Ovis aries: one gene and its partner. The protein of the gene in region 1 purifies or fractionates together with the protein of each later gene. This does not show direct contact. Links are inferred from orthologs where the notes say so. Each region holds a gene or a part of one and is shown on either strand. Other genes may lie near its edges.

What was found. The genes of interacting proteins can lie anywhere in the genome.
Region 2: the proteins of NDUFAF5 (region 1) and NDUFAF8 purify together in Homo sapiens (affinity purification with mass spectrometry; 3 studies listed by BioGRID and IntAct, counting the BioPlex papers as one, with this or other methods). This does not show direct contact. The link is inferred for Ovis aries from reciprocal best matches to the Homo sapiens genes NDUFAF5 and NDUFAF8.

What each region holds. Positions count from the first base shown.
Region 1 is NC_056066.1:7,200,027-7,204,218, forward strand, and holds the start of NDUFAF5 (arginine-hydroxylase NDUFAF5, mitochondrial), read left to right. Parts: upstream 1-1,392; 5' UTR 1,393-1,427; coding exon 1,428-1,649; intron 1,650-4,192. Other genes in the region: ESF1 homolog, read right to left, coding at 1-181. UniProt on the Homo sapiens protein: Arginine hydroxylase that mediates hydroxylation of 'Arg-111' of NDUFS7 and is involved in the assembly of mitochondrial NADH:ubiquinone oxidoreductase complex (complex I, MT-ND1) at early stages. May also have methyltransferase activity.
Region 2 is NC_056064.1:50,975,413-50,979,181, forward strand, and holds NDUFAF8 (NADH dehydrogenase [ubiquinone] 1 alpha subcomplex assembly factor 8), read right to left. Parts: upstream 2,420-3,769; 5' UTR 2,382-2,419; coding exon 2,298-2,381; intron 2,136-2,297; coding exon 2,025-2,135; intron 1,912-2,024; coding exon 1,781-1,911; intron 749-1,780; coding exon 733-748; coding exon of another isoform or gene 719-732; 3' UTR 501-718; downstream 1-500. Other genes in the region: AP-4 complex accessory subunit tepsin, read left to right, coding at 2,742-2,789. UniProt on the Homo sapiens protein: Involved in the assembly of mitochondrial NADH:ubiquinone oxidoreductase complex (complex I, MT-ND1). Required to stabilize NDUFAF5.

The DNA of each region.
Region 1 (4,192 bases):
TGATGGGACGTCCTCTTTTATCCACAGCATAATTCAATTTGAACTTTTTGTCATGAAACATTGCTCGAAATCTCTTGTCAATTTTGACTTTTCGATCCTTTTCTGGCATTTCCCAAAATCTTGGGTCCTTTGCAACCCGCCTAAACCGTTGGTCACTCATGATTTCTTGTTTAGATGCCATTTTTAAATGTGTAACTGGACAAATGCCTGAAGAAATCAAATACTAAAAAATAAAATCATAATGAAAGGTCAGTAACAGAATTAAGTAAGATGCTATGGGAAAATATTAATTCACAATACTATATTCTAAGCTACATTAAGTAAAATAAGAGGTCTAATTTCATTTCCCGAACAAATCTTGAGTCACATGCAGAAAAGAAAAACTATCAGAAAATCTTCTTTTGAGTACAGCATTTGAAGAAATAAACTTAACGCAAAACCAAGCAGAATTCCAGGTCTTTATGGAGGGAGGCAAGTGATTACTAGCCAACTGCCCTCACTTAGATATCCCATATTTCTACTTTATATGTGTATGTGTTACAAGTAAAAGCTAATATGATTAAAATATCCTTAAGTCTCAGTCTTATTTGTTTTTTCACATTCTGGTCCCATTCTCTCCGTTAATCCTGACTTCATTTTATTCAGAACAGCCTTTACTTCGACCAGGCTGTTAACAGAACCAAATGAATTCAGGTTTAGTTCACAAAGTTCCCCCTCTTTGTATATGACCACCCTTCGTGAACCAGGTAAAGCCTTTCTCTTAGTTAACAAATACAAAGTAGCAGTGTTTTGTTCCAAAAGCAAGGCTTGACTATGACGCACCATTAAACATTTGACCCTCAGAACAGCCTTGTGGGGTAAACAATATTTCATTCAACTATCAGAGGTAAAGCGTATAGATGTTTAGAACGAAACCACTTGATCTACGGCAAATATTCGGAGACAGCAAGGCGACCAGACCTCATCTCGGTCGCCCGCCCTCATCTCCGGCGCCCACCTGCCCCTCCTACCCACCCGGTAACGCCGAGAACACCAGGGAACTAGGACCTACCTTCCCAGCTCCCAAACCTGAGAGACGCTTTGGGGCTCAAGCCCCTCAACACGATCTGGAGGAGCAAAGAAGCTTGAGGAGAGGGGTCGTAAAGGCAAGGAGGAAAAGCGCGGGGCTCGTAAACCCGGAGAATCTGTCGTACACTGGCTCTGTCCCTCTTCTCCTGGAGCCCCACTCCACTCACCGACTCCGAACCCTCTCACGGCGTCACATGGGGCCCCACACCCACAATCCTCTGCGAGACACGCCGCCGTGATGGCACGCGAACTGGGCCAAACTGCCTCCGCTTTCCCTCCGCGAAGTGCTCCGGCGTCCTCGCCGTAGCCTTGGCGCATGCGCTCGATAACCGAGCCGGCTAGGGGTGTAGGCGCTGGAGATGCCTCTGCTCACCCCGCTTCGGTTCTCGTGGCGGCGGCTGCCGGCGGCCGGGGTCCCCGTGAAGAACCTCGGCCTCAGGACGGTGGCCTCTGGAGCCTCTTCCCCGAGTGGTGCCTCGCCCAAAGCCTTCAACATCTTCGATCGGGATTTGAAGAGGAAGCAAAAGAACTGGGCGGCCCGGCAGCCGGAGCCGATGAAGTTCGACTACTTGAAGGAGGAGGTGAGTCTGCGAGACGGCGCGGAGGGTGGCTCAGCGCCTTGACTTCGGGTCCCGGAGCTCCGGCCAGGACCTGAACGCCCCCACCTCGCCGTGTGACCTTGAGAGGCCGCCCTGCCTGTCTGGGCCTCTGCTGTAACCGCGCAGGGGCCGGGCGCCGGTGTTTGCAAGGTGCGATTCATTCATTCATTCATGTCCTCGGCAGATAGTATTAATACTTGAGTTACAGGTGTACCTGGGGCAAAGCAAGACCGCTGCCCTCAAGAGATTTCATTCTTGTGAGAGACGAGACAGTGAACCGGAAACGTAATTTCAGTTAATGAAGTAAAGCCAGGTAGTGAAGTAAAGAAGTAAAGCGACTTCGCTGGTTGGGGGCACACGACGAGGCAAGAAATTAATCAAGCTGGGATCTGGGAGATGTCGGGGGAAAGCTTTGCAGGTAATGGGGAAGACGAACCCAGAGGCCCTTAATCCCAAAGGGCCTTGTCAAGGCCTCCAGGAAAGCTCCAGTGGGAGGTAAGGGAGTGTCCAGGTCAGGAGGGCCTTAATGGGTAAGAACTTTGGATTTTCTTCTCTATCTCAGCTGTACATTCCATGTGGTAATTTCTGGCCACATGCAGCTTTTGAGCACTTGAAATGGCCCTTTGAGATGTGCTGCTGCTGCTGCTGCTGCTGCTGCTGCTAAGTCGCTTCAGTAGTGTCCGACTTTGTGCGATCCTATAGACGGCAGCCCATCAGGCTCCACCGTCCCTGGGATTCTCCAGGCAAGAACACTGGAGTGGGTTGCCATTTCCTTCTGCAATGCATGAAAGTGAAAAGTGAAAGTGAAGTTGCTCAGTCGTGTCCGACTCTTAGCGACCTGATGGACTGCAGCCTACCAGGCTCCTCCGTCCAGTAAGTGTAAAATACAGTGGGTTTCAGTGAATTAATATGGAAAAAGGATGTAAAATATTTCCTTAATATATTTTTATATTAATTACACATTGAAACTCTTGATATTTTGGGTGAAAATCAACTTCTTTACTCTTTTTAAAATGGCCACTAGAAAATCTTTGGAGAAGGGCATAGCAATCCACTTGCCTGGAGAAATCCATGAACAGAGGAGCCTGGTGAGCTACAGTCCATGGGGTCACAAAGAATCGGACACAACTGAGTGACTAACACTTTCAGCACTTTCACTGGAAAATCTTAAGTTGCTCATGTGGCTCTGATTGTTTTTCTCTTGGCCAACATAGCTCTAGAGTTTAGAGGAATGGGAGGCTGTTGAATGGTTTTCAGCAATGAAGTGATGGAATCTGATTCATCTTTTATGAATTAAGATCTCTGATTTATCTGTGCTGGTTTGAGAGACCTCTTCCTCTTTACTCAGGTGAGCTAGGAACTTGAGCCAGTTTCTACTCTCTGAACAGGCAGCACAGAGCTCAGGCCTATGTAAGTGCTTCTTCAGGGATAGACCAAAATTGAAATCAAGTGTGATGAGCCCTTTGAAGCCATTGCAGCCAACACTTACTGAGCTCTTGTTTTGGACAGAACTTTGTGCAGGTCCTGGTCAAATCGGATGACTGACTCTGTTCTCAGGGTGACACATATAAATATTCAGAAGATGTGAGTTTCCAGACCCTCTCTTCCAGGAAAGGCACCTGGATTACAACTTGACTGAGGCCTCACCATTGTTTAGGACTAGAATAAATGAGATAAAGTATACGAGAGTCTTTTAAAATAATAAACAAAAGGTATTCATATCAGTAATGATGCACAAAGTGGACTCCTCTGGAAAAGACTTCTGCTGTCCCTTCTCCCTTACCCTTCCTCCCTACCTCACCTCCCAAAGAAAATACACATATATTCTGTTCTGAACTTTCAAGTCCCTGTAGAAACTGTGATGTTTACCAGGGAATGAGTGGAATGTGGGGAATATTAGTCTCCCACATCTTTATTCCTGCTGCATGAAGCTAGCTGAGCAAAAGGAGGCACCTGCCTTATGACCTCTTTTAAATTGGATTGAGATTGAGGAGGTTTCGTTAAATGTGGCTGATTTCTAATTTGCAGATGTTGCTCAGAAAAGTTATTTATTCATTTAGGAGTTCCACAAAATTTGTTAATAGTTAACAAATAATTAGTTGTATTAAATTATCACTTATACATTGATCTGTAATAATCCTCAGCTAACTAATTTTTCACTTTCACGCACCTCACACTAATGTCTGTGGATGATATGCTTGTTATGTTTCTGTTGCTTTTTTTTTTTTAAGTTAGGGTATCCTGTTGCTTTTTGTCTTTGCACTCTTGCAGCACATGAAATATAAAGTCATAGATATACAGAATTTAGTCTTCTTTCCTTGAATTGACTTCTGAGGTAATTAACTCAATGTGTTTCCTTGGTTATTTTTATTTATATGTTCCTATTCAGAATTCCTATTCAAAATTTGGGGCTTCCCTGGTGGCTCAAATGGTAAAGCGTCTGCCTGCATTGCGGGAGACCTGGGTTCAATCCCTGGGTCGGGAAAATCCCCTGGAGAGGAAAGTGGCAACCCACTTCAGTACTC
Region 2 (3,769 bases), on another chromosome or scaffold:
AGGCAGCACTCAGGATGCTGAAATCTTCCTGGGTCCCACTGGGTCTCCCTGGAGCTCCAGCACGTGTGCTGCTGCGGCCTTACCGAATCAGGATGAGGGGTGGGACCAGAGTGAGCAGGAGCCTGGCCAGGATGGACCTGGGCTCAGACTCCAGAGGCTGCGGAAGGGAGGGTGGGGCAACCCCATGGAGCAAGTCTCACAGGCACTGGGTTCCTAAAACCAGACCTTCCCTGGGTTCTTCACCCTTTTGTCTGAAGAGCAACCCCCACCTTTTTTTTTCTAAGTCAGAAAAAACCCCATCAGTACCAGGTTCCTACAGCTCGGACTTTTCCCTCACGGTGTCACTGTTCTTTCTTTGGTCTGTGCTGTGACCTGGTAGTTACTTCTGGATGCTTCGCCACTCAGATGACGTGCCTTGGTGAGAACTCTTTAAAGAACGAAACTCGCAAGGCAGCTTGTTCACAGCCCATGCACTCATTCCGCAGATGACAAAACAAATCTTACAGTGTCTGATCTGATCTTTATTGTGGGTTCACTGTATCTTATTCTCCCCAAATCCTTAGGTGTGCAAGGCTGGAAAACCCATTCTCCTGCTCATGCATGCCTAATGTGTTTCCAGTCCTTTTAGCCCCAAGAGCTTTTAAGGTTTTAGACGCTTGCCCCTTGAGGCCATCAGTGCCAGGCACCCAGGGACGTGCGTTGGAGCTTGTAGTCCTTCCTAACGGCCTCCTGTCAGGGTCTTCTTGGCCTGGAAGACAAAGGGCTGTGTCTGAATGGGTTGCTTTAGTTAGACATGGTTAGACAAGTTAGACATGGTTTCAAAGTTAAGAAAACTACCATCCCAGAAGCCACCTCCTGGCAAACAAATGACAAAGAGCTTGGCCACGAGTGTGCAGCATGGGGCCAGGCTGGTTGGGGCACTGGGGAGCCTGGGGCTGGGCTCAACCTGCTCTGTGGCCTCTCCCACCCTGCCAGGCATTGTGCCACCAACGAGTCCCGTTTAGTCCTCCCCCTTCTATAAAGGAATCTCTAAGCCAGAGATGCTGAAACACAGGCTCCCCTCCTGCCTCCTCATGCACCCCCACAGAGCCTCAGGGTGCAGGCAGAGTAGACAAAATGGCTTGTGTCTTTAAATGAGAAACCCCCAGGTTCCCTGTTCTGAACTTCCAGTGCCTGGGGCCTGTGGTTAGGTTGCCCTCAATGGAAAACAGCAGGAGAGGCAGCCACACGCTCCCGGGGGCAAGACAACATGACAGGGGCAAAGAAGCGTAAGGAATCAGAGAGGATTCCTTCCAGAGAGGATTCACAGGATACCTGTGATCCTGACTAATAACCACAGGCGGTAGGGAAAAGCCTGGTTTGGCCAGGAGTGTGTGATCTTTATTTTACATGTGAATCCTTCCAACCACTGACCACAGGATGAAGGTTTGTACTTCCCGGAGGGAGTGCTCTGAGTAAAGCAAGGAAGCTGCCAAGAGCCAGGAAGCAAGTCCAAGCGACACGTGCATCTTGGATGAAACATGTCATATTGGAGATTGGTGACAAGGGCGAGCCGCATATCCCAGCCACAATGATTGCTAGGAAGGTGCAAGGGGTTCTTTGAGCCCTCTGGGAAATGAAGTATGGCCCATGCATTCTCCATCCTGGATCATAGAGATTCCTTGGATTCCCTAAATTCTAGTGAGCTGACCCAACTGTCCCCTGCCAGGTCCAGTACTCAGCACAAGCAGCTCTGGTGAACAGAACTGACTGTGGGCATCGTGGCCCACCCCAGACCCACCGAGTCGAGGGAACCCAGGACCTTGACATCTTGGGCACCAGCTCAAAACCTTGTGCTAGCCTCATTACAGGCAGCCTCCGTGGCGGCGGGGGTCGCGCCGGCTGGTGTGGGGCTGTGCCCCCGTGAAGCACCTGTTGGAGCCCAACATCGAACCCAGAAGAAAAGGAAGCCCGTTTCCCAAACAGGTAACGTGGGTCCCCGCCCCCTAGGGTCCCACCCCCGGGCGAGGCTGGCGTTCACTTACCGCAGCAGCGAAGCAGCTCCGCAAAGCCTCGAACTCCTGCGCGCACAGATCCTTCTTCAAGCAGCCGCCCGGGGCCGTGGACGCCTGCACGCACCTGCCGTAGGCCGCGGCCTGGGGGCGGACGGAGATGGGCGAGGGTCGCCACGGTCCCCGCGCCCGCTCATTACCCGGGCGGACCCCGCCGCCGCCGCTCCCGGGTCACCACTAGCCGCCCCCCGCCAACCTGCACCCCGCCTCGCGCGGCCCTTCCTGCCCCGCCTGACGACTCCGCACCTCGGCCCCACAGGCAGCTAGACACTCGGGAAAGGCGCGGAGGCGGCTTCGCACGCGACCCCACACAGCTCCGTTCCCCGACATGAGCGGCTCCTCCCGGCACCTGTGGGCGCCGCCATCTTAGGTCCGGCCTCTTCCGGCGCCCAACAGCTTAACCGGCAGGCACTTCCGCCCACAATCTTTCTTGCGCTTTGTCACTTGGTCAGGCTTAGCCCTCGCCTTAGCCTCTCCGGAACCGCTCTCAGTCTCCCAGAGCCCTGCAGTTGGCTCGTTGTCGGTCGCTGTCCTTGGACTTTGTATTGGTTCACGCGCAAACTGTTTCCCGAAGTCGGCCGCAAGGCCCTCCTCACTCGGGTAATTGGCCCGCGGGGTCAGGCTCACGCACTGATTGGCGGGGGCCCGGGCCTGGCGGAAGCGGGGCGGGGCCGGAAGGTGGCCGGCACCATGGCGGCCACGCCGCCGCTGCGGGACCGCCTGAGCTTTCTGCACCGGGTGAGTGAGTGCTGGCGGCCCTGGTCCCACCACGCGCCGCCTCCTGGCCTCACCCCCAGCCCAGGCCGACCGCCTCCCTGGCTGCGCACTGCCCCCGCGGGATCCCCGCGCCCCGTGCCCTCCGGATGCTGGCAGGCTTGGCGTCCCCTTCGTCCCCCTCCGTCCCCTCCCACCTCTCCTCTCGCCTCTTTCCCTGTTTTCCGGCCGCTTCAACATCCTAGAACACTCCTCATCTCAAATCCTACCCTTCGGCCCCTCCCGAGGCTGGGGGACCCCACAGCCTTGGGGGGCGGCAAGTCAGGCCATCCCTGTGTCAGGTCCACGGGGAAGAGTGACCCCCTTGAACAAAATCCCAAGTTTTTCTGTTTTCTTACCCAGCTTAAAGTAGCTTTACAGAAAAAGAAACAGTGATCCCCCGAACTCTGGCCGAGATAACCAGACGCTGATTCGAAGAGCGGCAGAAAACCTTTTATTAAGTGGTCCAGGCAGTGGGGGAAGCCCTGAATTCCAGTTCAAATTGTGCGGAGAGGACTGGGCGTTTTCAGGACAGGACAGAAGGGTGGAGTTCAAGTGAAAAATGGCAGGCGTTTGGGCGGTTTCGGTGGGATACGGCTGCTGTGCTGATAACTGGTGGTTACAGAAGCTAAGATCCCATCGTGCGGTAGGAACTGGGGGACAGACCCTGTCCCTCCTGGTGGTTACATTTCAAGGAGTGGCCTTCAGGTCCTTGAGAAAGACTCTCCTAAGTTGTAGGAGGTCTGGGTTCCCAATTGTAGAAAATGCTCCTGAAGTGAGCCTGAACCAGTCCAAAAGTCCAGGGTCAAGAAAAGGTCTGGAGTCTGTCACCAGAAATAGGCCAGAATGAACAGTGAATTCTGGCACTGTGAGCTTCCACAGGCAGGCGGCAGGGGTGAGGGGGGTGACGGGTTCACCCTCATGCTGCTGAAAGACAGGTCAGTTCTCTTTGAGCAGAGGTTTCG